Arabidopsis thaliana: one gene and its partners. The protein of the gene in region 2 purifies or fractionates together with the protein of the main gene of each other region. This does not show direct contact. Each region holds a gene or a part of one and is shown on either strand. Other genes may lie near its edges. The genes, in order: MURE, PTAC3, PDE312 and FLN2.

Evidence for each region.
Region 1: the proteins of PTAC3 (region 2) and MURE fractionate together in Arabidopsis thaliana (co-fractionation; one large-scale study listed by BioGRID). This does not show direct contact.
Region 3: the proteins of PTAC3 (region 2) and PDE312 fractionate together in Arabidopsis thaliana (co-fractionation; one large-scale study listed by BioGRID). This does not show direct contact.
Region 4: the proteins of PTAC3 (region 2) and FLN2 fractionate together in Arabidopsis thaliana (co-fractionation; one large-scale study listed by BioGRID). This does not show direct contact.

Annotation. Positions count from the first base shown.
Region 1 is NC_003070.9:23,611,371-23,619,630, reverse strand, and holds MURE (ALBINO OR PALE-GREEN 13), read right to left. Parts: upstream 5,292-8,260; 5' UTR 5,171-5,291; coding exon 3,310-5,170; intron 3,198-3,309; coding exon 3,081-3,197; intron 2,993-3,080; coding exon 2,817-2,992; intron 2,680-2,816; coding exon 2,534-2,679; intron 2,403-2,533; coding exon 2,384-2,402; 3' UTR 2,215-2,383; exon of another isoform or gene 2,073-2,214; 3' UTR 1,719-2,072; downstream 1-1,718. Other genes in the region: SPPL2 (SIGNAL PEPTIDE PEPTIDASE-LIKE 2), read right to left, coding at 15-134, 261-372, 467-625, 995-1,141. UniProt on the Arabidopsis thaliana protein: Involved in chloroplast biogenesis. Required for thylakoid membrane development. Seems to be required for plastid-encoded plastid RNA polymerase (PEP)-dependent gene expression.
Region 2 is NC_003074.8:1,121,503-1,130,733, reverse strand, and holds PTAC3 (plastid transcriptionally active 3), read left to right. Parts: upstream 1-3,152; 5' UTR 3,153-3,218; coding exon 3,219-3,599; intron 3,600-3,852; coding exon 3,853-4,024; intron 4,025-4,137; coding exon 4,138-4,355; intron 4,356-4,466; coding exon 4,467-4,527; intron 4,528-4,624; coding exon 4,625-4,697; intron 4,698-4,778; coding exon 4,779-4,856; intron 4,857-4,962; coding exon 4,963-5,120; intron 5,121-5,333; coding exon 5,334-5,502; intron 5,503-5,674; coding exon 5,675-6,137; intron 6,138-6,226; coding exon 6,227-6,652; intron 6,653-6,759; coding exon 6,760-6,963; intron 6,964-7,049; coding exon 7,050-7,183; intron 7,184-7,307; coding exon 7,308-7,503; 3' UTR 7,504-7,786; downstream 7,787-9,231. Other genes in the region: RR22 (response regulator 22), read left to right, coding at 45-296, 420-596; AT3G04270 (two-component response regulator ARR22-like protein), read left to right, coding at 2,651-2,830; AT3G04250 (F-box associated ubiquitination effector family protein), read right to left, coding at 7,906-8,784.
Region 3 is NC_003074.8:17,959,011-17,967,202, reverse strand, and holds PDE312 (Nucleic acid-binding, OB-fold-like protein), read right to left. Parts: upstream 5,041-8,192; 5' UTR 4,995-5,040; coding exon 4,266-4,994; intron 4,175-4,265; coding exon 4,115-4,174; intron 4,021-4,114; coding exon 3,991-4,020; intron 3,913-3,990; coding exon 3,839-3,912; intron 3,699-3,838; coding exon 3,456-3,698; intron 3,335-3,455; coding exon 3,268-3,334; intron 3,183-3,267; coding exon 3,090-3,182; intron 2,977-3,089; coding exon 2,800-2,976; intron 2,723-2,799; coding exon 2,672-2,722; intron 2,435-2,671; coding exon 2,283-2,434; intron 2,213-2,282; coding exon 1,795-2,212; 3' UTR 1,590-1,794; downstream 1-1,589. Other genes in the region: AT3G48490 (uncharacterized protein), read right to left, coding at 5,403-5,671, 5,772-5,865; AT3G48480 (Cysteine proteinases superfamily protein), read left to right, coding at 8,141-8,192.
Region 4 is NC_003070.9:26,013,334-26,020,294, reverse strand, and holds FLN2 (fructokinase-like protein), read right to left. Parts: upstream 4,272-6,961; coding exon 4,231-4,271; intron 3,983-4,230; coding exon 3,648-3,982; intron 3,566-3,647; coding exon 2,913-3,565; intron 2,833-2,912; coding exon 2,361-2,832; intron 2,274-2,360; coding exon 1,930-2,273; downstream 1-1,929. Other genes in the region: AT1G69210 (Uncharacterized protein family UPF0090), read left to right, coding at 237-498, 782-852, 940-1,115, 1,214-1,322, 1,413-1,712; AT1G69190 (Dihydropterin pyrophosphokinase / Dihydropteroate synthase), read left to right, coding at 5,586-5,589, 5,714-6,961. UniProt on the Arabidopsis thaliana protein: Required for proper chloroplast development, most likely through regulating plastid-encoded polymerase (PEP) dependent chloroplast transcription.

The DNA of each region.
Region 1 (8,260 bases), on a different chromosome or scaffold from region 2:
AGAAAAGGACATACCTTTAGAACTGTTGGCTAGCATCTTTTGCAAGGATGCACCAGCATCTTGCGGGAGCATGACGGCAGGAATCTGTATATCTAAATCAGTTTCATCCGGTTCACAAACCATTTTGTAAAGTTCTGTCAGAGACAAACAAACATACAAACCATTAAATTCTACAAACAATATTGTCTGTGATAGTAAGCATACCCAAATATAACTGATTGCTATAATAACATCAAAACAATTTCAACAAAACAAAATACCTTTCTGATTATTGATGATGAGCAGAGCAGAGGCACCAGCAGCTTCTGCATTATTCGCCTTTGCTGTGAACCGACAGTTGCCCCGTTCCACAATAACAACATCTCCAGAAAGCTAACAAAGATTGAACACATAAGTTAACACATTTACTTTCAACATCACAACTAATTTAAAATGCATTGATTCTAATGTCATAGGTCATAAAAACCTTGTTCTTGAGCGGTGTACAAGAATCACGAGGATTTGCAAAAACAAGGTGAGTCTGGTTTGCATTCTTCTCCTTGGAAACTATCCGCTTCCCAAATCTAGCGCCAACCCCCACAAACTCCTCATTCTCAACACCATCAATCCACGTTTGAACTTTCACCTAAGGAAAGAACCAGGTTACAACAAATCACACACATAAAACTTTCACCAGATCTTAATCCAATTTATCAAACACTTCTCATATCAGATTTAAACATGAACGACTCATAATTAGACTTAAACTAAGAGTTTAAGCTTATCCATAACTTAGATCAACTACACAAGCTAATCAGTAAGCTTAAACTCCAATCACGAAATTTCAATAGCATGTATAATTAGAAACCTCCGATTTCGTTTTTTTGGAACTACTTGTTGAGCTTCGTAAGAAGAAGCCAGAAAGAGGGGAATAACAACAACATTAGTATCGAGAGTAGTGAAGAGGAAGCTGAATTCGAAGTAAGAAACGAGAGATTTAAGTGGAGATAAGTACCAAAACGAAGTCATTCTCGCAACCTGGTTTCTTCGGAGCTAAATTGTCTTGATGAACAATATCACCGGCGGTGACTGTAGAACGGAGAGATAAGAGTAAAATCGAAGATGATAGAAGAAGAATCCGGAGAAATCGAAGCGAATCCATGGAATGCTCCAAGGATTCTCTCTTCTTCGCTGTAATCACACACAAACAATGAAGAGAAGCGAGAGAGAGAGAAGAGTGAAACACGGAAGAGATTAAAATAGTTTAAATAAATAAAAATAAATAGGGAGATATTCTTAGAAAATATATTGGGAATATTTTAATTTTATCTGATATCATTGTTGGATCTGTGGAAAGTGACGTAAGCGAGAAGGAAGTAGAGTGAAGGAACTTTGAAAACGACGGCGTTAGGTCGAGCTATTGGACCGGGTTTTGGCGTTTCTTCTGATTCAACCGGTTTAGCTAAACTGGTTCTGGATCTATCACAATCTTGTCGAAATTTGTATTAAACAAAACGATTAATGAATTGACGTTTGTTGCGACATTTAGGACAATTTCCTCGGACATAACATGTTTTCTATCTCTAAGCAAATTATTATTTATTTGGTTTTATATTTTGATTAGATTGGTTTTGGTGGAGTGGTCCCAAAAATACGAATGGATATTGGGAAATCTTTTAATTTATAACCAGAATATAAAATTCAAAGTATGCTTAATAGTTTCAAAAGACTATATTCCCTAGCACCATTGCCAAACATTCGTAATTTATGTTCTTGTCACAATATATCACAAGGCCTAATCTTATTATTGTTCAATCATGTCTTCCTACTTTCTCAATTTTTCATATTAAGAAATTGAAACCGTATTTTCATCGTTTTCTTTTTTCTTTGAATTCACTTTTTTCAAGTTTGGATACATGTAAGAAAATAAATAATTTAAACCGGAATCTATTTTTGTTGGTTCGGTTTGAATTGGTTCATCTAAATTAAACACATGCTATCAAAACATACCCAAAACAGAACCACTTACATTTTTGGGTTTTTAACCCTTACAAAATTTGTACGCATCTTCTTCCACCTTTAAAATCTTCCTCCTGCGGTAACAATGACAGAAAATCTGAATTAAGTTTAGTCTAATATTACATTTCGATAGCTTAGGTTTCCTCTTGTCCAAAAAAACAGGTGAAGTGAGCAATGGAATAACTTTAAGGTAATGGTGATTGGAACGTTAAGTACCTCCCAGTGGTGTAATCTCTTTTCCTTGGGCATGATTTTTATGTCACTTGTGTAGAATTCATTACCTCTGTGCAAATCGATCTTCGCAAGAGAATTGGACCATGGTGGAAGAAAATCTGGTTTCATGGACTAAGCTAACTTCTCTTCTAATGATTTCACCACAGAGATATTAATGACTCTCTGGTAACCTGCAGAAGCACAGTAATACAAGGAAGAACAGATTAGTGATCGTGAAGCATCTTGACAAGTTTCAGCAACTCTTCACAGATTAGAAACTTTGGTTATCGTTGGTTGTTTTAGCTGTTACGGTTCTACTTACCGCCATGGGAACTCGCTTGTGTCTATTCCAGCTTGGTGAAGCTCATCAACGTATTGTAATGCTTCCCGACATTCCTCTCTGTCATCATAAAACTCTTTCTTTTCACCTTCAAGCTGATACGCTTCATGCCCTTTCCCAGCTACAACCTGCAAAAATCAGTGTCAAGCAAAGCTATTTACCCGAGAACTATATTACTTTGATTGCTCATAAAGGTAAATCCAGCAACTTTGATAACACACTCAGTAAAGTACTGTATAGAGTGTGGGTTTATTTGAATACTTACAACCATATCACCTTCTTCACCCATAGCAACAGCACAACGTACAGCTACACGTCTAATATCGTGAAGGAAGAGTCTATGACCATTTGCCAAAGGCGGATAGTAATCGTGTTCGCCATGTTTCAAATACTCTTGCATCGTCCATCCAATCCCAGACAACATGTCATCCAAGATGTCCACTAAAACCACATTGGAAAATTAACTGTTAATATACCTCCAGAAACACTCAAGGGAGATAGACTCAATCTAATTCTTAGAGTTACTTACATGGATCTTCATTCCTCGGATTATCAGATGTCAACATCGTCACATCGCTCTTTTCAGTAGCAATTTTCGTCATAAGCGGTCTTTTCCCTCTTTCATTCTCACCCTCACAACCAATAACTTCAATAAATAAATAAAACAACTAAAATAATCAGATGACCACACATATAAAGACCATAGGAACGGCCGAACAGGCAAAGAGTATCTATTAGATGGAAGAAAATATCTATACCGGTAATGATTCTTCTCGGTTTAAGCTCTCGAATTGAATCTAGCAGCCTTGACAAGCCATCAGGTGTGTTTGCATGATCCACAATAACACCAAAAGCTTGTTCCTCATCAATCAACTCACACCTTCCTGGGACTGCATCGACTTCCTCAACACCTCTAACAATATCCTCAAGAGGAGCTCCAACAGCAATCCCAACAGCCACAGCAGCAAGAATATTATAAATGTTATGCCGTCCTAACAAACCCGAAGAGATCTCCAGTATACCTTGAGGGGTATTAACCAAAACCTGTGTCTCAAACAAGGAAAGCTCAAACTTTAACGGGTGAACATCGGCTTTGGTGTTTTCCATGGCAAATGTCACAACAGGAACATTAGGATTCCCTTGCTGGACAAAGAATGCTGCGTTTGGATCATCTATGTTAACCACTTTCCTATGCCTTTCCGGATCAACCATTCTTGAAAACAACTTGGCTTCAGCATCTCTATACTCTTCATCAGTACCACGAAAATCCGTATTTTCTCTAGTCAAATTTGTGAAAACCGCAATGTCGAAATCCACTTCATCACATTTCCCTAAAGCAAGTTCTTGAGGAGAAGCTTCCATAACCAAAGATTCAGTTCCATTATGCAACATCTTAGCCATCAAACTCTGAACCAAAACAGCATCAGGATTCATCGTAGCATTAGGCGTATCCAATTTGTTATCGCCATGAATATAACAAGAAACTGTGCTAAACATTCCTGTTCTCACACCCATCGCTTCATAGAGGCTCTTAATCAAATACGTAGTAGTCGTTTTCCCATCCGTACCAGTAACTCCAATCACCGACATGTTCTTCGAGGGATGCCTATAAAAGGAAGAAGCTAAAGCTGCTAAAACTGCATTCGTATCTTCAACAATGACAAGTGCTCTGCAACCTAAAGTATCTTCAATATCAATCTCTTTGCTAGCTACAACCGCCACTGCTCCTCTCTTATCTGCTTCACTCAAGAAATTTTCACTTCCTAAACAACACACGAAGAGATCTCCGGCGCTCACACCGCGCGAATCATGTTGAATCCCGGTGATTTCGACATCTAAATCGCCGTAAACTGAGATTGGTACCACTTTACTCTCATCTAAAAGCTCAGCTAAGCACATTTTGAACTTAGGTTCCACGATTCTCGCTTTAGATTCACCAAAATCATCCAAATCGAATTCAAATTGATGATCAGACCCAAACTCCTTCTTCTTGTTGATCCTAGTGTTACCTTCCTCATCAACCCAATCTTCTTCATCAGAAATCTCTGTTAATCCAGTTAATTTATCAATTTCATCCAAATCAACAACTTCTTCTTCATCAAGCTCATCAACATCGTCAGTAACATCACCTTCTTCCTCATTTCCCTCCTCCCCAATCTTCTTAAGCGATGCCGTTTTGGGAGGATTAGGTTTGAGCAATCCTTGCTTAACAAACTCACTACGTTTCATGGAGATTGCTCTATCGATATCAGAGAACAAGTCTCCACCAGATTCTTCGTCATCTCGTCCCGTCTCCGCCGCGTCTTCCACATCGGCGATAGCGGAGAGATAAGTGTTCCGATTCTTCTCGAAATCTTCTTCCTCTAGCTTCCGTGCACGAGCAGCTTGACGCTGGATCTGCTGAAACTTCGAAACTCCGTGCATTGAATCCTCCGGTGCTTCAGGTGGATCGTCATCAGCAGGGTTCGGGTACGAATTCCGGCGAGCAGGTCCCGCCGCAACCGTGAGAGTACGGGAATTTCGAGAGAATGGTAAGAGAACTGGTTTGTAGGAGAAGGAAGAGGTTGTTCCAGTTAGAGAGAGAAAGACTGGGTGAGGAGAGAGAAAGGTGAACGCCATTGGAGACAGAGAGACTGAGAAAGCAAGCAGTGAAAGGTTTTTTCCAGGGGATAAGAGTTGGGTTTTTTCATTTTTGGGTTACAAACGATGCGTTTAAAGAAATCAAAGACGCCGATAAAACGGTGCAGTGTGTACTAAAAACGATTAAAAGATATGTACAGGAGAAACTCTATAAATTAATAATGATTGGACTATAAATTTTTATTAATTTATAATAATATTAATTTATTTTATAAATTAATAAATAGTAATTAATAGAATATTAACGTAAAACACAATACTAAATTATTTTAAAAATGCTTTTCCGATTTAGTATTTTTCTCATATTTTGTTATTTGTATATTCAATTATGTTAGATCTTTAATTTTATTTTTGATATTTTAAATTTATTTTTCTGCAAGATATAGTGTCTCTATATCTACGACGTTAACGTGGAGGTTAAATCAATTTTTCTTTACAAAAATCTTAGCAATGGTTTTTCATAGAAAAAATGTTACAAAACCAAATATGACGGATCAAATACGCAAAGAATTATGTGAGTATAAAAGAGATCATACCAACTCTATTCTAAAAAGAGTTGCAATTGTAGCTTGAATAAAAGTTTCATATAAAATTAGTCTTAGAATGTATGCTTAAGATTTATGATTATTAATTTATGATATTATTGGGACTATATTTTTACATAGGGGTTTCAAAAAATTATTATTTTATTATCTTATCGATTTTCGTTAATTTTTACATTGGCCCGACTTCGACCGGCAAAATTTATTAATTTATCGTGTTTATTAATTTATCGAGTATTAATTTATAGGGTTTCTAATGTATATTACAAAGTGTGTAGTGAAAGGATGGGCTTCTAAGGCAGTCTCATGGCCCATAATATTAGCCCACTATCTTTTTTTCGTTACAGAGAAATATTTTTGTTTGATGAGTAGACAAAATTGCTTAATGATTGCTAATTTGCTATGTTGTTGCAGAGAACCAAACAAACGTTTTATTTGAATTGTTTATAGAAGAAAAAGATTGATGGCTCTTGGTTTTCTGACATAAGAGGTTGATTTTATTTCTTGATTTTGTAAAAAGCTAATGGTTTTATCTATAGTTGGCCGAAGTTTAGATTCTAATTGGCATTGAGTAACTAAAGTCCAACTTCTAATGTTAGACTTTCTAACGCCCTAGTAGAGAAATGGGTGTAAAAGAGATGGAATTGCATCCAAAATTTCATGATTTTTGATATTATATTATCTGCTATGCATACAAATCTGTCCCGCCATGTACATGATCATTAAGAGCCTAAGTTATATTAAGTTTTTTTGCACTAAAGTCAGTTAGTAGTATAACGTAGTTTTGTATTTGTTTTTCTCTTATTTGGAGAGCCGTATTTTGGTCGTTGATAGAAGACGATAAAACCACATGGCCACTTTAATTTGGAACGTGGACCGACCACCGCCATGTACAGTTGAGTTGGTTTAATACACCCTTTGTGGTCCCTTCGTCTTGGGCCTCACTTCTACACTTTCTTCAGCCCATTTTCATAACACGTGACCTACACATGCTATAATGTACATGATTTAATTATTTATCTCTTAATTGTGTTTTCTTTAAAAAAGAAGAAGATATAATTCTCTTTATTTTCTCTTGATCTTATGAAAAAAAATGTATGGAAAACTTGATAGACATTCATCATTTATAATGTAACACTTCACACTGGATATTTTAACAAATACAACTACGCTTTATCGTTCTCACTATGAAATATATCATCTTATAAGCTCTTTTTTTTTACTCTTATTTTGGATCTTTTGGACGCTTATCAGTGTCCCTTGACAATTTTTGGACAATCACATATACTATCTTTGGAAATGTAAATAGAACCTTAGTGAACCACTTAGTTTGATACTCAGTTAATCACATAAACTTACTTTTCATTCTAGAACAATTGTTTTCGTACCAAATTAAACAACGAGTTATTTCTGATCATCCTATCCCAATACGAAAGTATTGGAAGACCCTTGGACAGTTTCCTGGTGTTCCAAGCAACTTTACAAATTTTTTTCCAGTTAGTACTGAAAGTTTATCTATTCTTTTGATCTCCAAAAGTCTATACGAACAATATTTATATACATACGCATGTTAGACTTCATATGTCAACGAGGAAAAATGTTATGTATGTGCGTGATATACAATTTAATTTGTTGGTACACTATCTCAAGCTCTTAAGTATAATTCATCTACTGTGTTCACGTATGTTAATGTTATATAACGAATAAAGGATTATAATATGCGTAGCCAAATCGACATAATTATATTATATTGAACGGCAGAGAGAAACTTTGGTGAAAAGTTAGATGGATTTGATTATTAATAACATAAGACAAGTGGACAACCACACGCATACCGTTACAAGTCAAACAATCATATTTATGTTCCACCAATTTCTATACAATAATACGAATGCAATCTCAAATTTTAATAACTAAGTCATATTGACTAAAGAGTTAGATTCGTTACTGGCGATAAAGGGATGAACAGAGCAACACTTCCGGTTTGGGTAAACATGGAATAAGTGAAACAGACGAAAAAGAGTGGATTGATTCATCAATAAAAATCATTTGTACTAATTAACAAAATTAAGAGTTAAAGCAATCAATGTCACCATCTCAACTACGACAAATCACATGTCAATAGCTAGTATTATTACTAATCAATATGAGAACAACAAACACATGTAAATTTCAGATTATTTTACGCATAACCTTATTAAAAATAACATTTGTAAAGATATTACAGACCCGGTAGCAAATACCAAACACATAAAATAGAAAGAAAAATGGAACATGCCGTATTGGGATCGGCTACTCTATAATTATATACTCCTTGATATTCAGATATTAACTTCTTGATATATACACACACATATTAAATGTGCATGTGTATACACGTACTAAGACGTAGATGGAACAATACAAGTCTTTACGTTACTAATTTTATAAAGATTAATCTGCGGAAAATAAGACTAATAATATTCATTTAAGGACTCGAGAACCAATTGGTAAATGTCAAGAAAGACTATAACAGCAAAATATTATA
Region 2 (9,231 bases):
TTCTTTTTTTTTGGTGAAGATTCTTGAGAGAAAAGAAATCGAAGATGGCAACAAAATCCACCGGAGGTACCGAGAAAACCAAGTCGATAGAAGTGAAGAAGAAACTAATCAACGTGTTGATCGTCGATGATGATCCATTAAACCGTAGACTCCACGAGATGATCATCAAAACGATCGGAGGAATTTCTCAGACTGCAAAGAATGGCGAGGAGGCAGTGATCCTCCACCGTGACGGCGAAGCATCTTTCGACCTTATTCTAATGGATAAGGAAATGCCTGAGAGGGATGGAGTTTCGGTACTTAATGATCTTGAATCTTAATCTGCTTACCAAATAGACAATTTAAGTGGGTCGATCATCACTATACTTAAAAACCTCCTCTTTAATATAGTTTTTATGTTCTTTGTTGATTTAATTTAGACAACTAAGAAGCTAAGAGAAATGAAAGTGACGTCAATGATCGTTGGGGTAACGTCAGTAGCTGACCAAGAAGAAGAGCGTAAGGCTTTTATGGAAGCTGGGCTCAACCATTGCTTGGAAAAACCCTTAACCAAGGCCAAGATCTTCCCGCTCATTAGCCACCTCTTCGATGCTTGATGGATGAAGGCTCATTAATGTATCTATATTTTCAATCATGAAATCACCTACACGTGTATTTGACACAAAAATCTGCATTTGTTGTGATATAGGGTTTCTCATATCTATGTTTGATTTATTTTCTTATCGTCCGAGGTAAAATCATGCAAGTCATTTCTTTTGGCTAATAAAATATTAAAATAAGGTTTTCTCTTGTTGAATGAGCTAATTTACTTCATATGGCTCATGCAAATCTCCATATCAGTTAACTTTAAAAAAATTATACATAGTTTCGCGATAAATTCTAAATTTTAAATAACTATCACATTTACTAAAAATAAAATAATGTATGTATGTAAATATGTAATGTAACTGGCTAATTTAATTGAATAATTATAATACTTACAAAAATAATATATATCGCGAATCTGACTATATTTATGTTTTGTTTATCTTATTCAAAAAGATGAAAATATAAACACTTTACTAGCTATATCTATTTTCTTTTCTCTATTTTTCAAAAACATAATTTACATAATATTTCATATTATTTCAATTCCAGTTTACGTTCCATATTTTTAATGTATATATATTTTATTCTTGTTCTTCGCATATATACGTCATATTATTTTGTCCAATACTATATGTCATTAAGAAGATAGGGTACTACTACTGGGTACATCATATCTTACTTTGGATTTGATAAGGTTTGTGTAAATAAGAGTAAATTCTATTTTCAACGGCGTGTATCATCTTAGCCAAATTTGATTAAGCATTGTGTGCTATACACTCAGAAAGTACCTATACTAATGTTGCACTATAAATAATAATTATTACAAATTTTTAATCAAGAAACTAGCTATGGGTCTAAAGATCAGAACATAAAATGTAATTTTTTTTTCTTCTAATTTTGACTTTATAACACAATTTTTTTGGACATCTTTTTATTTATTTATTTAGAAACGTTAAATTTTTATTTGATATCTGTTTTGAATTAAATCAGAAAAAGAACATCAAACAAAAATTTAACGTTTCTGAATTTCTTTGGTTGTGACCACATTTCTTGCAGCCGTATAACTCGTGACTCTAAATCTTAAAAGCTTTGGTTGTGTAAGTGTTTGAAGTGGAGTTATATTCTACACTTTAATTTTGAGTTGTTTTGTTTGAACTCTATATCTGTACTTCACTTTTCAAAGCATCTACTATGTCTCTCTGGAAAGTTCAAATTTGTTATATATAGGCAAACCAATTCTTCACTTGGCTTTTCAGGTGTATTGGTTTGATTCGGAAATGCTTGGGAGGTTGAACCGAAGAACAAAGGATTGATGAGTTCGAATATTTTCTATATATACCATAGCTTTTTGAGATTATGATTTGTTTAGATAAACAAGATCGTGTTGTGTTATTTGTCTCTGCTTCTTTATTTAACATACGTATGGCATCGTAACATCTTCATATGTTTGTAAATACAATTATTTTCACTTTTGTTTTGATATTACTTTCGAAAATATATGAAAGTGTTATCTATAAACTATATCAGGAATCAGTGGTTCAACAATTAATGATATCCAAGAAAAACGCTGTGTATTATAATGTGGATTACGAAAGTTCTGACAAAATTTGTGTGAAATTTTGTATGTCCGCTTTTTCTGTTTTCTTTCTTATGCATTTTCGATCATTTTATCTGAAATGTGTTACAATTAAACTAAATATTCCTCTACTACATAACTCAAGCTCACATTTTTTTTTTTTGTTACTTCGGCGCAAAGTCTTCAAACACTAATTAACAAGATTTCCCGTGTGGATGCTTAGCATTTTTCTCCACCCTAACTAAGATGGAAAAATTACTCATACCAGTAAACGAAACTATTCGTAAAAACTGATTTCCTTTTTGTAAGTGTAGAACAAATAATTTTTTTCACCGACAACTTCCATTTTTTTACTATCTCTAAAATTTTCAACACGTATTCCAAGTATTTCCTTTTATTTTGAGTAATACTCTTGTTTCCAAAAATAAGAGTTAACATGATTAGCTTATATACTTGATCTTTTGGGTTCTTGTTGTGATTATATGAATGATGAAGACAAAGAAGAAAGAATCGAGAGGAGAAATTGGGAAGAACATGTCGTTGATATATAAGAAGAAACTAACGGTGTTGGTCGTTGACGATGATCCATCTTGTCGTACACTCCACATGGGAATCATTCAAATGGCTGGAGGATTCCCTTACATGGTGAAAAACGGCGAGAAATAAGAAGCTACGTGACATGAATGTGACGTCAATGATCGTGGGGATGACGTCACATGAGGACGAGACTAGGGCATTCATGGAAGCTGGAGTTGACCACTGCTTGTCAAAGCCCTTAACCTTTGGAAAGATCGCATCCATCATTGACCATCTCAAAACCGCATAATCTACCGATTAACAAAATATTACTTGGTTTAGTTCGGTTATGTGACTACTGATATAAATCTTGTTCAATGCAATTTGGTCTAGTTCGGTTCTGTCTGGTTCAATCCAATTAACTCACGTGATCTGCACATGATCATCGTCTACATTTTAATTAAATAAAAATCTAAATTTCAAATCACTTTATCCATTCCCCAGTAAAAAAAAAGTTTCAGACTTTGGCAAAAAAAAAATGTCACTCTTGTTCCTCAATCCTCCGTTTCCCTCCAATTCAATCCACCCAATTCCTCGTCGTGCCGCCGGAATATCCTCCATTCGATGCTCAATTTCTGCACCGGAGAAGAAACCGAGGAGGAGGAGGAAGCAGAAGCGCGGCGACGGAGCTGAGAATGACGACTCTTTGTCTTTCGGAAGTGGTGAAGCTGTCTCCGCTCTGGAGAGGAGTCTCCGCCTCACTTTTATGGACGAGCTTATGGAACGAGCTAGAAATCGAGATACTTCAGGTGTTTCTGAGGTTATCTATGACATGATTGCTGCTGGGCTTAGCCCTGGACCTCGTTCTTTCCATGGTTTGGTTGTAGCTCACGCGCTTAACGGCGACGAACAAGGCGCGGTATATGCTTCTCTCTATAGCTTAAATTAAAGACGTAGACTTTATGTTTTTAAGAAATCATACAATGCTGGAGCTTAAACTAAATCGAATTTGAATTGTTGTGCTTTATAGAACTTGAGTTATGGTTTAAGACTTTACAAATTTTTTGTATCAAAATTAGAACTTTACTCTTTCTCATAGCTTATTGAGTGTGTTTGAACTGAAAGATTGCTTCTTTTTTTTTTGCTTGGTGTGTGTTTGTGTGTGATTGCAGATGCACTCGCTGAGAAAGGAGCTAGGTGCAGGCCAACGTCCGCTTCCTGAGACTATGATTGCTTTGGTTCGTCTCTCTGGTTCGAAAGGGAATGCTACGAGAGGCCTAGAAATCCTCGCCGCTATGGAAAAGCTTAAGTATGACATTCGTCAAGCTTGGCTCATTCTTGTTGGTATTCTCTCTTACTACTAAGACTATGTGTTAGAATCAAATGGTTGTTGCTTGTGTCTACCAGGATTGAGGTTACTGAGTAATCGTTTATAATTTGATTGTGGTCTTTTATAGAGGAGCTCATGAGGATCAATCACTTGGAAGATGCGAATAAAGTTTTCTTGAAGGGTGCAAGAGGTGGGATGAGAGCAACAGATCAGCTTTATGATTTGATGATTGAAGAAGATTGCAAAGCTGGAGATCATTCTAATGCCTTAGACATCTCTTACGAAATGGAGGCAGCTGGTAGAATGGCCACAACATTTCATTTCAACTGTCTTCTTAGTGTGCAGGTTTGTTATGTTTTTTTTTAGAACGTATACACACACTTCTTCTTTGTATAATGAAGATGGTAAGTCTTTTTGTTGACATCAACTACATTTTTCTTTGCTTCCGTTGTGTAGGCTACATGTGGGATTCCCGAGGTAGCTTATGCTACATTCGAAAATATGGAGTACGGTGAAGGTTGTATGTTTTTCTTAGCTAATTTCCGCTTCAATTGTTTGGTTTAGTTGTTGCCTGATGGCTTTTGACATGGCTTGATGTAATCTTGATTTGGTAGTATTTATGAAGCCTGACACTGAGACATATAACTGGGTGATTCAAGCCTACACTAGAGCCGAGTCATATGATAGGTAATTCTTATGAGTTTTTGATTGCACACATTTCTCTTAGAAGTGGACAAATTTTCAGGTAGCCTGTTGCATGAATCACAGGGTTCAGGATGTTGCTGAATTACTTGGAATGATGGTTGAGGACCACAAACGTGTGCAGCCAAATGTGAAGACTTATGCGTAAGAGAATCATTATTTCTGTATTGTACTCATTTCTACCAACTTTGCATTTCTACCTGTTCTATTGTAAAAATCCTAATATGATCTGTATGATGATCCATTTCAGGCTCTTAGTTGAGTGCTTCACCAAATATTGTGTCGTGAAGGAAGCGATTAGACATTTTCGTGCTCTTAAAAACTTTGAAGGAGGAACAGTAATTTTACACAATGCAGGGAATTTTGAGGATCCTCTCTCTTTGTATCTCAGGGCTTTGTGTCGAGAAGGTATGCATACACTTGTACCTGTGTCAATATAATATGCAGAGGCATATGTTGAACACCTTCTGGGAGATCATGAGAACTTATGATTAAAACGATTTATGATTATGGTTCTCTATTTCCCTTATTTCTGTTTTTATACTTAAGCGTTATATTTGTTGATTTTTAGGACATGCTAAATTTACTGTCTTTAAACGGTACCCTCTACCTTTGAACCAGGAAGAATTGTTGAGCTTATTGATGCTTTAGATGCAATGCGCAAAGATAACCAACCTATACCTCCAAGAGCCATGATTATGAGCAGAAAGTATCGAACACTAGTCAGCTCATGGATTGAACCATTGCAAGAAGAAGCTGAACTTGGCTATGAGATTGATTATTTAGCGAGGTAAAAACTTGAGTTCTGCGTGGTTTGACTGGAATTTTGTTGATCAGATTCTATCCTCCCATTTACAAGTTATACGCTAATGCTCTGTTCTAATTGTCAGAAAGGAAGTATAGTGTCTTTTTTTACATGTTGTCTTGATATACTAAGATTCGCATTCTGTAAACATTTTCAGGTACATAGAGGAAGGGGGACTTACTGGTGAACGCAAGCGTTGGGTACCTCGAAGAGGGAAAACTCCTTTAGATCCCGATGCTTCTGGTTTTATATACTCAAACCCTATTGAAACATCCTTTAAACAGAGATGCCTTGAAGATTGGAAAGTTCACCATAGGAAGCTCTTGAGAACCTTACAGAGTGAAGGTCTTCCAGTTCTAGGAGATGCATCAGAATCTGATTACATGAGAGTGGTGGAGAGATTACGGAACATAATAAAAGGTCCTGCACTGAATCTTTTGAAGCCGAAAGCAGCAAGCAAGATGGTTGTATCAGAGTTAAAGGAAGAACTCGAAGCTCAGGGTTTGCCAATTGATGGAACAAGAAATGTGCTTTACCAGCGTGTCCAAAAAGCAAGGAGAATAAACAAATCTCGAGGTCGACCTCTTTGGGTTCCTCCAATTGAAGAAGAAGAGGAGGAGGTAAATTTATGCTTATGCTCTTTCTTTCATTCGGGTAAACATGCATCTTTAGTACTTGTTACATCTAAAAAAGTTTGTTTTTGATATAGGTCGATGAAGAAGTAGACGATTTAATATGTCGAATCAAGCTACATGAAGGAGACACAGAGTTCTGGAAACGTCGGTTTCTTGGAGAAGGCTTGATTGAAACTTCAGTTGAATCCAAGGAAACGACTGAATCAGTGGTTACAGGTGAATCGGAGAAAGCGATTGAAGATATTTCAAAAGAAGCTGACAATGAGGAGGATGATGATGAGGAGGAACAAGAAGGAGATGAGGATGATGATGAAAATGAAGAGGAAGAAGTGGTTGTTCCAGAAACTGAGAATCGAGCAGAAGGAGAAGATTTAGTGAAGAATAAGGCAGCTGACGCGAAGAAGCATCTTCAAATGATTGGAGTCCAACTCTTGAAAGAATCCGATGAAGCAAACAGAACAAAGAAACGTGGGAAGAGGGCATCTCGTATGACACTTGAGGTTAGTACGTATAACACACTATGATATGGTTATGATTTAAGTAGACACATGATTATGAATTTGATAGTTTAAGCATGTTTTCACAATGCCGATTACCTCCATATCAGGATGATGCAGATGAGGATTGGTTCCCTGAGGAACCATTTGAAGCATTCAAAGAAATGAGGGAAAGAAAAGTGTTCGATGTGGCTGACATGTATACAATAGCAGACGTTTGGGGTTGGACATGGGAGAAGGATTTTAAGAACAAAACTCCAAGGAAATGGTCACAAGAGTGGGAAGTCGAGTTGGCAATTGTGCTCATGACAAAGGCAGGAGTTCCTTCAAGCCTCTAAAGCATTATTACACAAATTGTTTTATGATCCTTCATGTTAATAATAATGATAAATTTGTGTAGGTGATTGAATTGGGTGGAATTCCAACGATTGGTGATTGTGCAGTGATATTACGAGCTGCTTTAAGAGCTCCCATGCCTTCAGCCTTCTTGAAGATCTTGCAGACGACACACAGTCTTGGCTACTCATTTGGCAGGTAACTCAGTTACAACCTCTCTTTGGGTTTAGTCTGTTAGAGAAGCTAGTCTAAGGCGTTCGATATGACTAAACTTGACTATAAACAATGACATTTGAATACACGTGGTAAAAATCTGTTGCAGCCCGTTGTACGATGAGATCATCACATTGTGTTTGGACCTTGGAGAACTTGATGCAGCCATCGCCATAGTTGCAGATATGGAAACCACAGGGATCACTGTCCCTGATCAAACCCTTGACAAGGTCATATCTGCTAGACAATCTAATGAGAGTCCGCGGTCTGAGCCTGAAGAGCCAGCATCAACAGTAAGCTCTTAGTTATCATATCCTCTTCTGCTTGTTGTGAAGTCTCTATAAGAAACAGAAATCGGTAGAAGGAGCTGAATCTGTCTTAGTTATGAAAGTTTTGTTCATTATAAGTACAAGTCATGTAGTTCCGAGTGTAGAACAGTTTTTACTAGTGTTGCACCAGGTCCCTCCAGTCTGATACTTAATTCTTTAGTGTTGGATCTTTCTATATAAGAAACGCAAATAGCAAGACGCAGCTGAATTGGTCTTACTAACAAACGTTTTGTTCACGAAAAAGATAGGAAGAAACAAATGAACGATAGTAACAAAAGTTAGAAAATCCTCATCATATTGCATAAGATAGGAAGAAACAAAATAAGGATAGTAATCTTATTCAATGAGAAAAAGAGTGAGTAAACGAAGGAGGCTAAATTAGGCTTTAAAATTCGTTTGCTTCTTCAGACCCTCGAGGACTCGTTTTTTCCATTTATTATCCTCCTGCTTGGTTCGCTTTATAAAGGCGGCAACTCTCAACATGTTTTGGTCATATCGACGCTGTTCTAGAATGGGTTTTCGTTTCCTTTTGCCTCCCGGAGGTTGTTTGATTTGCATTGAATTTGGAACGTAAGGGCACAAATGTGGCCTACACTTTATGCCGGCTACATGTACTCGGAGATCCAATTCTCTAAAATATCCAGTTTTTCCAATGATGTTGACTCTGTGGTGATCAAAAACCATGGAGACTTTCTTCTCCTCGTCAATGAAGAAACTCCCATGTATATATGCAATCGGCATGTCAGCCAATGGTCCTGTATCCATTTCCAAGATCTTGCTCCACGACACTTTATCATACTCGATCTTAGTCGTGATCCATATCTCAAACTCATATGGATTCCAGTCGTTGTGCGTAAGTAAAGCCGCAAGCTTCTCTTCTCTAACACAAGATAAAGTCACATAGTCATCATGGCCAGCGCTAAACGGTAGACGCAAAAGTGGCCCAAATCTCTCACTTGTGAAATCAAAACAGATTATGTGATCGTCGATTTTGTTTATTGCGTTACTTTTTGTAGCACAAAAGTAGGTATTTCCCTTGAGAGAAACACCACGCTGATAACACGATACTATCCAATATGGAGGGACATCAAGAGTTGTCCATAAATCGGTTTCAATATCGTAGATTTCATACCATGAAAACCGGTTTTCGGGTGCGTGGTTCACGGCCGAAGAGATGTAATGATCTATAAACCTCAAGACTTTGTGGCTACGACAAGAGTTGTTCTTGTTCACGTACCCTAGAGCGTACCTGTACATGTCCATATCCTGTTCTACGCGGTGCTGCTTCTTTACTAATGTGCAGCTTCATAAAGCTCTGACTTTGGGATAAAGCGTACAACGTTTTGCAAGTTAATTTCAATGTCCTCATATACTTCATGGGAAGTCTAGATACAATATCCTCTATCAAATCCCTTGGAAGATTTAAGATCATCGTTGTCGTTTTCTCAAGTTGCAACAAGGTTTTTTTTTTTTTAACCTTAAAAAAGTGTTCTTCTTTTCCTCTGATTTTTTTCCCGCAGAAGACTATACATAGGAATTTGAAGTTGGGCCCAATCGTGGGCTTCAGAATCTTCTCTTGTTTTCTTTTTGGTAATCACATTCATAACATCCAAGTTCTTTACCAACAATGACCATTTGTATGGGGAGAGCATCAAGTTTGTATGAAGCTGGGCTAACTATGGGCTTATTGGAATTTAAAACAGT
Region 3 (8,192 bases), about 17 Mb from region 2:
TTACGGTCCGAGTGATCGTCCAAACATGCAAATTCCAAAATGGTCCAAAAAATGTGAAACATACCATCTTGATTGCTACAAAAAAGTGTGAGCGAACCGGTCTTACTTTGAGCTAGTTACTCACTTGAAGAGATATTTCAGTCGAACTCATCACATTTTGATTTTGATATTTTCTTTTCTTTTGTCGGCACTCACGTTTTGAGGAAACAAGGAATATAAGAAAGTAAACGACCCAATAAACGTGATACGTCGGAGCAAAAGAAAACAAAAAAGGAGGGTGAGGAATAAATGTTGTACTACAGCTTTGAATGTACTACAGTCTACCTGCGGTAAAAGTGCGATATCTAATGATACGTGGGACATCTATATATCATCTATGCCATAATAGAAATGCCACATGGACCAATGTTTAACTATGTGTAGCTGTGTTTTTGGAACTTAAACATCAGTTCCATTTTTTGACAAAAAAAGAAGAAGACGTCAGATTCAAAACATTCAAATCAACGGTGTGTACCAAATTCCAAATCGTTAAGTTAATGAGAAACTGATTTTACCATCTCCGGATAAGAAATAGCGCTACAAGACTAAAATCAAAGACATTGTATGATACTATAATCGAGTTTTTAAGGGTCAAATGAATAGTGTTTAGCCGGGGACTTTTCTTTTATAAATTGTTTTTTAGAATCTTTTTGAATTTATTTTTCGTTATATATAATCAAATTAATCAAAACATAAATAAATTAAGAGTTTTAAATAGCAATACAAGTCTACCTACATTGGACATAAATTGTATAATAATTTAGTTAAGAATTTTAAGGAGACTTTTCTTTTGTAAATTGTTTGTTAGAATCTTTTAGTATTACTTAATCTTCCGTTACTATTGTTAATGACCTAACTGATCAGAAGCGGAGTACTGAGACGTTGCAAACACCATCCTTAAACCGTAAACAATATGTATGAAGATTGTTTTTGGTTGTATAAAATAAAACAAGTCAACGGACGATTTAAACAGAATAATAAAATTGGGCCGAAGCTTATTAGCCTTTTAAGGCCCACAAAGAAGAGCGAAAACCCTTAACGAGCATATACAACTCGGAGCACCTCTTTTCTCTCGCTCTCTTCCTCTTCAAGGTTTATATTTATAACTTCTTTTGCTGCTCTCAACGAACTCTTCCAGGCTAATAAACCGTCTCTGTTTTCATCTTCTCCGTAGCTGAGATAGCTCCATACCCTCTCCGACCCAAGTAAACTGATTTTCCATGTTATGGAGATTTGGTTCTCTAACTTATTGCTTTAGAGTTTTGATGTCATTGTACAAGTTTAATGCTATTATTTTTGTGAATTAGGTACAACCTTGCAGAGTAGCTTTGGTAAGAGTTTGCCTTAAGAGTTTTGTCATCAAAGAGCACACATGGTGTGAAGTTTTTGGTATACACGGAGAGATGACAAGGGTTTTTGATATTCCAGGTACGAACGAGAAAGCCTTTTGATAGAAGTTGATGTTTTGGAGCCCAAACAGAAGAAACAAGAGAAACATTTAGGCGTATTTTGCGGTGTCAAGACTACCTTCTCTGACGACGATTGATAGAAAAAACAAAAAACGTCACGTTCCTAACGTTCAACGGTGTACTACAAGATCCCAAACGTCTGGCTAAGTTAATAAGAAACTGATTTTACTATCTCCGGGATAAGAAGAAATGAAAAAAAAAAACTATCAAATAGATCAAACCTAACAGACAAAAATTCAAATAAATCAACCTCGACAATTTCTTATTTTTACTTTCCTTTTAAACATCAGTCTGTCAAGACTTGAGTACCGTTAACAAGAGGTTGCTGTTCCGAGTAACCGATACTGCTCTCATCACTCAGAATGCTATAGTCAAAATCGTCAAAATCATCGTCATCCTCTTCTTCTTCCTCTGACTCTGTTTCTTCTTCTTGACTCGCCAAGGTAGACCCTTCTTTTCTTTTCTCTATTGTCTGCTTAATCGCATCATCGTAAGACATGTCATACCACACATTGCCTTTCCCAACAATGGATTTGTTGTGTGCATCCTTCATTCTCTCTTGCTTGCTAATCTCTGAGTTCTTTGGCTCTCCCCAGTAGTCATACTGATATAATGCACTTGTTGGATCGTACTGGTCTTTCCCAAAGAAGCTTCCTGGCTTGTACCTCCCTGGTTCCTCCAATGGTAAACCAAGTGCTTGCCGACTGCAAAATAAATCTTCTTCATCTAAACACTTTCTTTGAAAAACATCAAAGTGAACTTTTTTTTACTTACGAGCTGATATCTCTGAGCAATGCTTCTCTTTCCTCCAAAGATCGGCGCCAGTGTAAGAAATCATACTCGTCCATCTCTATATTTCGTCTGAGCTTGTCAATTTTGTATCCTTCTCCTCTTGCTTTAGCTTCCATCATTAGTTTATTGTGGTGCTGCACAAGACAACAGGAGAGTATTGAGTTATTAACCACTATCAGTATAAAAGATTCATACAACAATGTGTCAATTACAAAGTGCAAAGCCTTAAAATGGAACTGTGACGACAATCGGAGTTACCAAGACAGTGTGAAGTGGAAATCTATTAAAAATAAACAAATACAAACGAGAATATTTCCGTAGCAGTGGGTTAAAGGAAATTGGTGACGACAAGTAGGGAAGAGAATTTAAACCTGGCGCTCGGTCAATGCAGCCTCTAAGTCAAGTTCCTTGACACTGGTTTTCTGCCAGAAATAGAACACATTTAATCACAAAGCTTAAGACAGTATGGTTTCACGAACACACCAGAAGAAACTCTCACCAGAATCACTTTTGGCAATTTGGTTTTCTTATAATAAGCTTCGCCATACTCGATATCCTTTTGTTCATCAAAGTCTTCATCATCAGATAATTCTGATAGCTTTTTGCCTTCGTATTTTGCAGGGTTAGCTTCGTAATCACCCAAAATCATTTGCTCAGCTACATGTATCTGCCACAACTGCAAACGGGAAAGAAATGTGTTGACGGTTTCACAAAATTTAGAAAGCCAATAAACCTAATGAGTAAACAAAGCAAAAATCACATAACCAACCCTTTTGCTCAGGAAAATACCTTGTCGACATAAGGGTGATCAGAGAGCAGCCCTTCCTCCTCTGGCTTTGATCCTGGATCTTTTCTAGGTTCAGGAGGTCTTCCACAATCTCGCTGTACAAACAATGTATTAGATAAGAGGGAGACTCTTCACGAGAACACGAAATGGATTGATATTCTAGGAAAGGATTCTACTGACCCGTATCTCATCTGGATTAGTATCCCCATCACGATGGAATATTGGTGGGAAGTCAAATTTATTAAATCTGGAGCAGGAATGTAAAAACAGTCAACACATATACCATAACCAAGACCATTGAGGACAGAACCAAAATGCCAATTTTTACTGGATATGTAAAGAGAATTAAATACGTGTGAATTACATACATCATGTGATCTATGTTAGGATGGACGAAGCGCAACTCCAAGGGAAACCGAAACCGGTATGGATCTCTTTTTGCCTGAAAGAACAAAAGAAAAAGGAGAATGAAGCAATTTCCATTCAGATTTTTATAAATGCGAAAGAAGAATATGTGCCTTAAGATTACCGTGATTTCAACGATAACATGCATCCCAACTTTTATGAAATGCCGGATCCAAAACCAGTCATTACCTTTTATAGGTACCCATCTGCAAACCAATAGACACATAAACTTACATCTTTCAAAAAAAGCATATGAAACAAGAGACAACATTATATTACGTTATATACCCTAAATACAAGAACCACGGTAAGTCTATCTTTACAAAGTAAAGAGACATAAACATACCCTTCATGAACACCTCCAATGTCAACAAACGCTCCCTGATACAGATGTAAAGTGGTAACTGTGCCTTCACAAACCTGCATGGACATTACGATATTGCTCATTTAAACCAATCATTAGTTACAATATACAAGGCTTAGAATAAGAATTCTTACCATCCCTGGATAGTAAAAGGGAAGCTCATACTGCACAAAGAAAAATAAAGCAATTAACTTACAAACAGTTCATCATCTAGCAAACTAATCAAACAATCAAATCCAGTAGCATAATAATATTTACCATCCCATCTTCGTAATCCTTCCCTCTTTTCCTCCTACCCGGATAAAAATCCTGATCGAGCTGTATAAATAAAAACATCATCTTTATTAGAATCCTTCTCTTAGCCACCACTAAGCTAACAATATCTCATTGTTCAAAAAAAAAAACGAACCTTGTAAGATTCTTCCTCCAACCTATCTTTATTATCTTCAACCCATTCCTTGTATTGTTTCAAGAAAACCTTAAACCTCTCCAAACACATCTTATCAACAGTAGCATCTTCACCAACTCTCAAATCCTTATCCAAATCCTCAAGCCAAACTCTTTCAGCCATTAACTTATGAGCTTCCCTAATAAACTCCAGCTCCTTCCTATCAACTTCCCAACCTCTGGGAGGCCAATCACGCGGCGGAATTTGCCTAAGAACCATCGGACCAGCCCAAGATGTTTCTAAAGGAGGTGGTTTATCACCTCTAATCTCAAATTGCTTTGCATACCATTCGTCTTCTGTTATCCCCATCTCCTTAATCTTCTTCTTCCTATACGATGGTCTCAGCATCTTAAACGCTTCGATCGCTTCCGGCGATTGAAGCGGAACTTCTTCACCTTCGTTGAGAGATTTACGAGCGAAATCAGCTTCTGGTGTGAGAATCTCTTCCCATGGAGCCCAACCACGTTCGATCCAGTTACGTCGTCGAGCTTCATCTTCTGTGTCTTTGTCCTTTGGTCCGAATTTCTCGAGGAAGGTTTCGTCGACTGGGAATTCATCGGAGCTGAATCCACGACAAGGCAGCAAGGATATGCGACGAGGCGGTGACCATTGAAGAGCTTTGGGTTTGCAGAAATTAGGGTTTGTGGGATTAGGGAAAGTGAAATTGAGCTTGGTTTGGCAAATCTGCATGATTCATTCGTCACTCTTCAGGGTTTTTGAAGGTTTAAGAGAGAGTGAAGAAGTTGAGTATGGATAAGCTTTATTTCATTTTACAGTGAAGAAGAAATGTTAAGTTTTTTTTGATGAACCCTTATATTTATCCAATATATTGTTTTGACCCCAAATGTTTTTGATTGATCAGTTAGACCCATTTTAATATAAGGTTTAGACGTTTAGTTATGGATGAACCCCTACATGACCAGTACTATCAACACCGTTGGTTAAAGATCATAAAGCTTGTTTAGGCTAAAGTAATAAACACATGATTGAGAGATGTTTTGATACAGGCATCTATATAGACTCCTTACTAACAATGTAGTTAAATTGTACATAATCAAAGTACAACACACATGAACTTGGGATACATTTGTTTACAAATCATTCCTGAGTCTCTGTCTTCATGTTTCGTGCTTGAGCTTGATTCTTGTACTTGCTAAACATGGATAGTACTGATGGGTTCTTGCTCTTTATCTGTTTCGAGCTTTCACACGAGTCTATAGCCATTGCATCATGAGTGTCTCCTAATTGTGTATCCGAAGACAAGACATGAGACGATGATGTTGATGACAGATTCTCTTCACCTTCTGTTTCTGATGAAGTAGTGTCCTGTCTTGTTGACCCTTGCTTAAGTTTCAACAGTGTTGACTCTACAATGCCATCAAAAGAAACCAAGGATTTCAAAACCTAGAGATTTCTATTGGACAATCAGAATCACATGAAAATGGAAAGAGTGTGTATTTATTATACCGTAGACGGAGAGAGGATCGTCTTTGATGATCTTCGCCGGATATCTCTCCAGACAATCCGGCGGCGACGGCGGTGGTCTCAGCCTCCCAAACATACGTCTCTCTCTCTCTCTCTCGAGTCAATTAGATCTGATCGTCTTCTTTGAATTGACAATCTGAAAGATGACAACATATAATCGATTCTTTGTGTTTTGGCGCCTCGATCGATAAAAAAGAGCGGGAACCTGAGACCAACAACGGCCCAAATAAATGCTGTTATAATGGGCCCTTCGCTCTTATTATGATTTTATCATTAATCACGTTTTTCATTATTATAAACCAAAAAAACTTTTTATATAAAATAACTAAAATAGATAAAATTTCCATCAAATCTAGTATTAATAGAGAAAATATATTAAACGTAAATATTGTTTAGGATATTAACTTTTTATTTATGAACTTGTTTTAGGATAATTGATTATTTCAGAAAATTACAATACTAAATAGCATGAAAAGATATAATTTGATCAAATCTCTTACTGTTTATTATGTACACATATATTAAATTTATAATCTACTTTTTTTTTACATACCATTATGTTACGTAGATTTATCAGCAAAAGCTAGATATTATTGAGAAATAAATTTATGTGAAATTCAGTATTTAAATACACCTTAGTAAATCCCAATAACACATATGAATAAGAATATGTTTCTTCACAGATGATCTATGGACAATTATACTTGCACAATTACCACTAAAAATGATCACGACTTCTAAACTGGTTTGTAAGCAGTGGAAATCTATTATCGAGTCTCCACATTTTCGTGTCATGTTCATGTCTCTGCACCATTCTTCTTCATGGTCGCTCATGTGTAGGCGTTACAAGATAGAACTTGTGGCTCATCATAGATGCAACACTTGGGGATTTAATCGTACCAGTACTCTTACATCTCGTCTTTTATGACCGATAAATTCGAAATGAACATATACCGAGAAGCCAAAGTTGTTCCTTACAACACCGATATGGGGTTTATTTTGATCGATGTCGAGTCTATCCTCAGGATCAATCGTTATACCTAGCTAATCCAATTTCACATCAATGCTTAGAAATCAATCGTCGTGCTCTCGAGCATAATTTTTTCTGTCCCTTGGGAATAGTAACACAAACTAAAAACGGCGTCGTTTTGAGTTACAAAGTTGTTATGTTTGATGAAAGGCAAAAAAGATCCATAATAACGAAAATAAGTTTTCAGTCCAGATATATTCGTCCGAGACACGGTTGTCGAGTCTCAACACTATCCATTTTCTTTTCTCTTTTTCGTTCAATCGTGATTTTTACCATCCCATTAGCTTAAACGAAAATCTTCATTGGCTCGTTCGCAATAGTGAGGATACAGAAGTTGTTATATCCATCGACTTTTACGCTTTTGAAACAAATTCTGATAAGTGTCGGGTTACTCATTTCCCTGATTTAGAAAAGCATCGCGAATTCATAAGAACATGCACAACTAGTCAAGGATTTCTCATGTATATGAACATAGTCTCTGATGAAGGTTTAGATGCTAAGTTATGTGTATGGAGGCTAAAGAGTGGAGAATGGCAATTAGTATCTGAGATCTCCCCGACTTTTATTGAAACTCCTTTCGATTATTTACCGCTAACGATTGACCCTTTTGATGCTAATATAGCATACTTTTGGAGTTCGAAACACCAAACTTTGCTATTTATTAACTTACTCAATGGAAATTTTGTGATCCACAGTGAATTAGAATATACCAAGCAGAATAGCATTATAAGTTCCTGTAACAGTCCGATACTTATGAGAGTACTCACCCAACATATACGATGTTGCTTGCTCGTTCTCCCACAATGGATGTATCGGATCCCCGACCCATGATGACAACATGAGTTTAGATATGTAATATTTACAATACTTGACTTGTTTATTTTTATCATTATTACTGTTACTTTCTTATGAAAAGAGGAAGAAGATGTAGCTTGGTTTACTTTTGAGTGTTAAGAAAATGTTTATAGGGCAAAACAAAATATACCTAATAAATTTAAAAAAAAAAAAAAAAAATTACAAATAAGTGTTTGATTCTATATTTTCCCAAAGCACCTACACAGAAATATTTTCTTAAGAGAAAAAATTCAAAACAAAATTTATAAAGGGTTCAATAAATTATATATCACAGAAACCAAAGAGACACTAAATCATCTTGACCGTTGAATCGTTGTCTATTAAAAAGTAAGTAAAATCAACGGCCAAAAGAGTCTTTACGTAATTCGTCTGCTAATATTAAGCGAAACAAAAAGTTTACAAGAGAAGAGGGAAAATAAAAAGCAAGGCAAGACAAAACACTCAGAGCTCTCTGTACCAAATTTCAATGTCAAGAAGACGAAGTAATCGTGTTCGAAATACTAATAGTAAATACGTCA
Region 4 (6,961 bases), on a different chromosome or scaffold from region 2:
GTCTTGTGTTCATATCTGTTGCTACTCTTGTATTAGTATAGGTCGTCTCAGCAAGTACATGTTTATTTTCCTAGAAGTTTTTATTAAAAACCAATCAATTTTGTCTCCTCTTAGCACAATTGCTAGAAGATTGAATGGAACAAACGGATTTTGTAACACTCGTATAAATAGTATCCCCTTAGGTTTAATAATAAATACTATTACAAGTCGTGTCTCTGTGGGAAATTCGAAAAAGCATGGCGAGATACCAAAATCTCTTTGTAGCTGCTTTGTTCCGAGCTTCTCGCCGTTTTACCAAACCGGCGACTTGTATCTCCGTTAGAACTTTTTCTTCTTCCTTACTACTTCCAAAGACGACGACACGTCTTACTCTTCCTCGCTATTTTCCTTTCTCTTCTTCGATCTCTACGTTTTCTTCTTCGTCTTCTTCTCCTTCTCCTTCAGCTCGACCGCCAAAAACCGCCGGTAGTAATGGCGACGAAGAAGACACTTTTGAATGTAAGATAAAATAAATAAACCTTGTTTTCTTTGACTGCCTCTCTGTTTTCTGGGTTTTAGGATTTGTTTACGGTCTTTCTGTGTGTTTGCCTTTTTCTTGTCTTTAAGGTGTTTGTTAAAATGTCTCCTGCCTAAAAAATGTATCTTCTCAATGTTGCTTGCTCTCTCGCTTCCTTGACCTTATGATTTTAATGCTTTTTCTTGTCCTTAGAATCTGGTATTTCATAAAGGTCATAAGATACTAATTGGTCTCATAAAACATTGCTTCCAATCAAATTGGCAGATAAAGCAACTGATGATGTTGAGGTCATAGAAGATTGGGAAGAAGACGAAGATGAGGATGTTGAATCACAGGTATATCTCTTTCTACTACATTTTCACGTCAAAATCGCCACTCTGTTTCTTAGATTCTTATAAGCTAATCTTTCTTCTGTTTTACAGCTTGGTGATGGAGGAGATGGTGGTGGAATTGTTCTTAAAGGTGTAGCATGGGGTGAAAGAGTTCTCTCTATAGCTGCACAAGTTTTGAAGCAGTCTGAGAAAGACTTGGAATTGTTTGCTTTCAAAACTTCACCGCGTGGATATATATACGTCAGACTAGACAAACTCTCCACTGAGTAAGATTCTTCACCCTTCTATATCATCAAACCATTGCAAAAGAGCAGTATGTTTTGAGAATTAACGAAAGCTTCTTCTTTTTTATTGTACAAAAAAGATATGGATGTCCTACCATGGATGAGCTTGAGGAATTTAGTCGAGAATTTAAGAAAAGACTAGATGATGCTGGGGCTGAAAAAGTAATCCCAGAGGATCTAGCCCTTGAGGTCAAAAAGAGTCTTTCCCCAGTGAATCAACTCTCACTTGGTTCAGTTTTGTTACAAAATTTTGTTTCCGTTTTTTTTTTTTCTGTGTAGGTGTCATCTCCAGGAGCGGAGAGGCTACTGAGAGTCCCAGAGGACTTGCCCCGATTCAAGGATATGCCAATGACAGTAAGCTATGTAGAAGAAACAAACTCGAGGAAAGCAGTAAAGAGTGGAGTGTTCCTCTTGGAGTCTATAGATGCAGAATCAGATAACTGTGTCTGGAAATTAGCAGATGTAAGGGAGAACAGAGATCCCGAAAGCAAAGGCAGACCGTTAAGCCGGAAACAAAAGGACTTGAGAATCACACTGCCTTTCGCAGATCACAAGAAGATAAATCTCTACTTGGATTAGTTAAGTAGACGTAGAAGTAGAGTTGCTATTAAAGTAAGTTCATCGTCACTGCAGTTTCACATTGCTGTTTCCGGATAATTTCAAGTGATTTTGTATTAGTTGAGATGGTGAGTGAGATATCAAAACATATGACAAAAATTCACACTACTAAGATGTTGTAAGATGTGAACAGGAAAAAAAAGCTGACTAACAGAAACATTATCAAATCTTATGAAAATCATAAACTACCATCTTCAAACATTGAGCCAACAAGCTCTAACTTCTTGTACTCCCTTTCCTCTACTGGTTTCATAACGTATGGACCATCTGGTTCATCATAAGGCTTTGAGGTTCTGTATTCCTTCTCTGTTATCGATCTTATACCGTTTGGATCTGATTCCACTTCATCTTCTTCTTCATCATCTTCTTCTTCTTCCATGTCATCCTTTGGAGGATATCCTCGGGTTTGTGCCAGCAACCATTGATCAATAATACCACACTCAATTGCATATCTCGCTGTGCGTTCCAGGTACCCTTTATTGTTCATAAGATCTGGCTGAACCGTAAGCATTCTTATTAGACCTGAAATAGAGAGTAGTGTGGTTCAGTTAATCGCAAGCATAACTTCCAAATTGCTATGAAAAACAAATGACACAAGTGAAAATGTACCTGCAACGATGCCATCTCCAGATGCTGACATATCCCTTGTAAAAGGAGTAATGGGAACATCCTCCATTCCGGAAACAGCACCATTGTGCTCTTTGGTATAGTAATGGATCTTAGAAGTGCCATTGGTCACAAACAAGACCTTGAGATTTTCATGCCAAAGCTGTTCCACAGTTTCTGGCGGGTAATGGACAAACTTACTGATGTCATTGTTTTCTGTATCGAACTCTTCAGTAGGCTCGATTCCGCATAAGAATTCAAGTTCCTGTTTTGTGATTTCAATGACGTCTGCAAGATTCCACACTTCCTGTATGAAAGACTTGGTTTCTTCGCTGGAGTGCCATAGTGGTAAAGGGAGATTCAAGTCATAAAAAATGACATTGCCTAGTTGCTTTGATATCTTGATGGCTTGTATCGTAGTTGACATCATCTTCTTATCGAGTAGAGAATGCGTGCTGAAGTAGAACATTTTCGCCTGCACCAAAGTTAAGAGATTGGTGAACAAGAAAAAGAGCCAAAAACTCAATGTTCCAAATCTCCAGGACAATATATTACCTCTTTGAGCACATCAACGTTGATTTCAGATTTTGAAAGTGAATCCTCTGCACATGGCTTAATACAAGTCGATTTCAAGCGACCTCTCTTGCTGATCTTCATAGTAGAACACGCCGTAACCCTTTTACCATCAATCTTAACTGATCTAGTTTGGACTTTGCACACATTCAGATAATACAACATGGCTTGACCATAGTCATCAGCCCCAAGTTTGCCCATAAAAGCAACCTTACCACCCAAGCTTGCAAGAGCAATAGCAACACCTCCTGCACATCCTCCAGGAGCCCGGATATACTTCTCTGGAGCCCACTTTGCATCTCTCATCCGTTCGTGTAGTTCATAATCTAATAGCCTGTTTGCTGGCCTTCCCGAAGGCACAAAAGCATGTTGTGCAGATCCAAAGCAACACACGAGAGGAGGCCATCCATAAGTGTGACTAATATCTTCACCTTCATGTTTACTCAGATCAATCTCTTCTTCTTCACTCTCTGTATCAGTGCTTTCAACAGCCAATGCTTCCTCGACATCACTAACCTCAGCATCCATAATAGTAGCTAAATCATCCTCCACATCTTTATCTTTCTTAACAGTCCTCTTTCGTCTCACTTTCTTCTCGGTTTTTACTTCCTCCACATCAGAAGAAGCTGCTGCAGCTGTATATATGTCGAATTCAAATTAAGTACTCGTGAATCATCAAGTGAGAACCATCAGCTCAGAAATGGTAAAAGTCATTACCTTTCTTTCTAGTTCTTGTCTTTTTTGGTTTCAAAGCTGAGACAATGCTTTCCTTGTCTAAAACATCATCATTATCAACCAAAAATTCAGAAATTTCTTCTAATGGTTCATCCTTAACCACAACCTTCTTCTTCGTTGTTCTCTTAACACTTTTAGATGGTTTCTTTCCCACAACCGCACCGTTTCCATCATTACCTTCTTCTTCAAGAGGTGCTGACTCTGATAACTTTCTCCTACCAGCAGCCATAGAAAAGCTTTGTTTCCCATTCCATCTTTCACCTCTAAACTTCACAAAACCATGCGACTGGAGCAGACAAGGAACATCTGCATTGCATCTGCCAAAATCAAAGCACAGCTATGAGAAAACCATTACATCAAAATGTGAAATTTTCAAACAGAAAGACAAATATAGCCCTCAATTCAAATCATTGTTACTCCATTCTTCTGTAGAAAGATAAGATGAGCTAAACTTAAAGTTCGCACATTTTTGGGCAGTAAACTGGTTCTACGCCAAATCCATAGAAACCCATATACTAAAATTTCCTAAGGTTAGAAAACAAGAGAGAGAGAGAAGCAAAGGGACCTGGGGAATGATAAGAATTGGGTGAAGGAGAGAGACGCCATGAACATCAAATAAGAGCTCTTTTCCAAACGAAATTGTAGTAAAACTAAGCTCCGAAACCCATAAAGTCGAAAGAAGCGTAAACCCAGAAATGAACAAAGGAGAGCAATATGTTTATGAGTTTTGAGGGAGATTGGGGTTTAAGCTCTGAAACCGCAAGAGGAGCTAGCTGGGAGAGGATGAGGAGGAGGTTTAGCGCTTTAACGAAACGGCAAGCATTCTATGATCAAAATACTAAAACGTCAAGATGTCCCTATTCTGTCTACTATAATTTATTTACGGCTCATTTTTCTTCTTTAAAGCTAGTGAATTTAGTATTGTCTATATGACATTCTTTTAATGTAGGTAGAAATATTTGTTATGTAAAGTTTTTCGTGAAATCGTTTGCTATTAAAAAACTACTTCAAGGAAAATATTTTGTTGTGAAGTTAATTGGCTCATCATCACAAAGCTACAAAAAACTTACGATTAACTGAAATCATAATTACTATGATGATTTACGAGTAAATGATTTGATTGGCATAGAAATAATGCCTAAAGATGGTGTGATGAAAAACTTAATACAATTCTAACACGAGGATATATATATATATATATACTGTATATTTATTTATTTTTCGTCAAAAAATATAGACTGTATATATGTTATGGTAAAACGGCTATTTTTTGCTATATAGTGAAAATAATATCGTCTGGAGTTATAATAATTAGAATTTTGTATGGTTAATTAATTTCTATTGGTAATGTAACCATGAGTGCCTTGAGTGGAATGAAAGAAAATTGATGTAGTCAGAACAAATCTATGAAAATTTTGATATTTTTTAAAAATGGAATGAAATAGCTGGAGACTAACACACAATTTTCCATCATCTATCCAAATATATGTTTAAATGGTAAAAGATAGAATAGATAATGAAAAGAATTATGAGAGATTCACTACCAATTTCAAAATTATGAGAGATTCATTACCAATTTCAAAATCTCTCTAAAAACAAAGTTTTCTTCTCTTTTTTCTTTTCTTTTCTAGATCTTCATATCTAATTCAAAAGAGAAGCTGACTTTTGACGAGCGTGAAAGACAGAAGGTACTTGGATAACACAACAAGTTCAGAAAAAAAGTAGGTGAAAATTGGCTACCACCTTGCCTCTCTCATACATAAGTATTGTTTACTTCCTTGGTTCTTAAAATATTAGAACCCATTTTTTGTGTTTCTAATAATTGTTTCGTTGTTATCTAAGACTAAACTCATAGTTTTGTATACTTTAAGGTCAGATCGAAGCAGACAATACTGATATTTTGGAGGAACCTATTCTAAAATGGGTTCGTATCTTTTTCATCCGTTTCATTTTCGTTGAAAAAAACAGCGTTTACGTTTTGATACACTAATTTCTGTTAAGTATTGAATCATATTTCACCTTCGAAACATGTTTTGTATATGACTCAGATTTCACATCTTTGGAAACAACAACTTTCGAAGAAGTCGTGATAGCTTTGGGAAGCAATGTTGGAAACAGAATGAATAATTTCAAAGAAGCTTTACGATTGATGAAAGACTATGGGATCAGTGTAACCAGACACAGTTGTTTGTACGAAACAGAACCTGTTCATGTGACCGACCAACCAAGATTTCTCAACGCTGCAATAAGAGGTGTCACAAAGCTCAAACCTCATGAACTCTTGAACGTTCTCAAGAAAATTGAGAAAGAGATGGGTCGTGAAGAAAATGGTTTAAGGTATGGACCAAGACCACTTGACTTGGACATATTGTTCTATGGAAAGCACAAGATAATTTCTGATAAACTTATCATTCCCCATGAGAGAATCTGGGAAAGACCATTTGTTTTAGCACCTTTGGTAGATTTGCTTGGAACGGAAGATATTGATAATGATAAAATAGTTGCATATTGGCATTCACTCTCAATGCATTCAGGTGGAATTTTCCAAGCGTGGGAGCGGTTAGGTGGTGAGTCATTGCTTGGAAAAGACGGTATTATACAAAGGGTTATACCAATAGGAGATCATTTATGGGATTTTTCTAAGAAAACTTATGTGATGGGTATACTTAATCTTACTCCTGATAGCTTTAGTGATGGAGGTAAGTTTCAATCGGTAGATACCGCGGTTTCTCGGGTCCGGTCTATGATATCTGAAGGTGTAGATATTATTGATATCGGTGCACAGTCAACACGGCCGATGGCCTCAAGAATATCTAGTCAAGAAGAGATAGATAGACTGATTCCGGTTTTAAAAGTTGTTCGCGGTATGGCAGAGATGAAGGGAAAGCTCATATCAGTGGACACTTTTAACTCTGAGGTTGCTTTAGAAGCAATAAGAAATGGAGCTGACATTTTGAATGATGTATCCGGAGGAAGTTTAGACGAGAACATGCATAAGGTTGTTGCGGATTCTGATGTTCCTTATATGATCATGCACATGAGAGGAGATCCATGTACAATGCAAAACAAAGAGAATTTGGAGTATAATGAAATATGCAAAGATGTTGCCACAGAGCTTTATGAGAGAGTAAGAGAAGCAGAACTCTCTGGGATTCCAGCTTGGAGGATTATGATTGATCCAGGAATTGGATTTTCTAAGGGAATAGATCATAATTTAGATATTGTCATGGAGCTACCAAAAATCAGGGAAGAGATGGCTAAGAAGAGTATAGGATTGTCTCATGCACCTATACTTA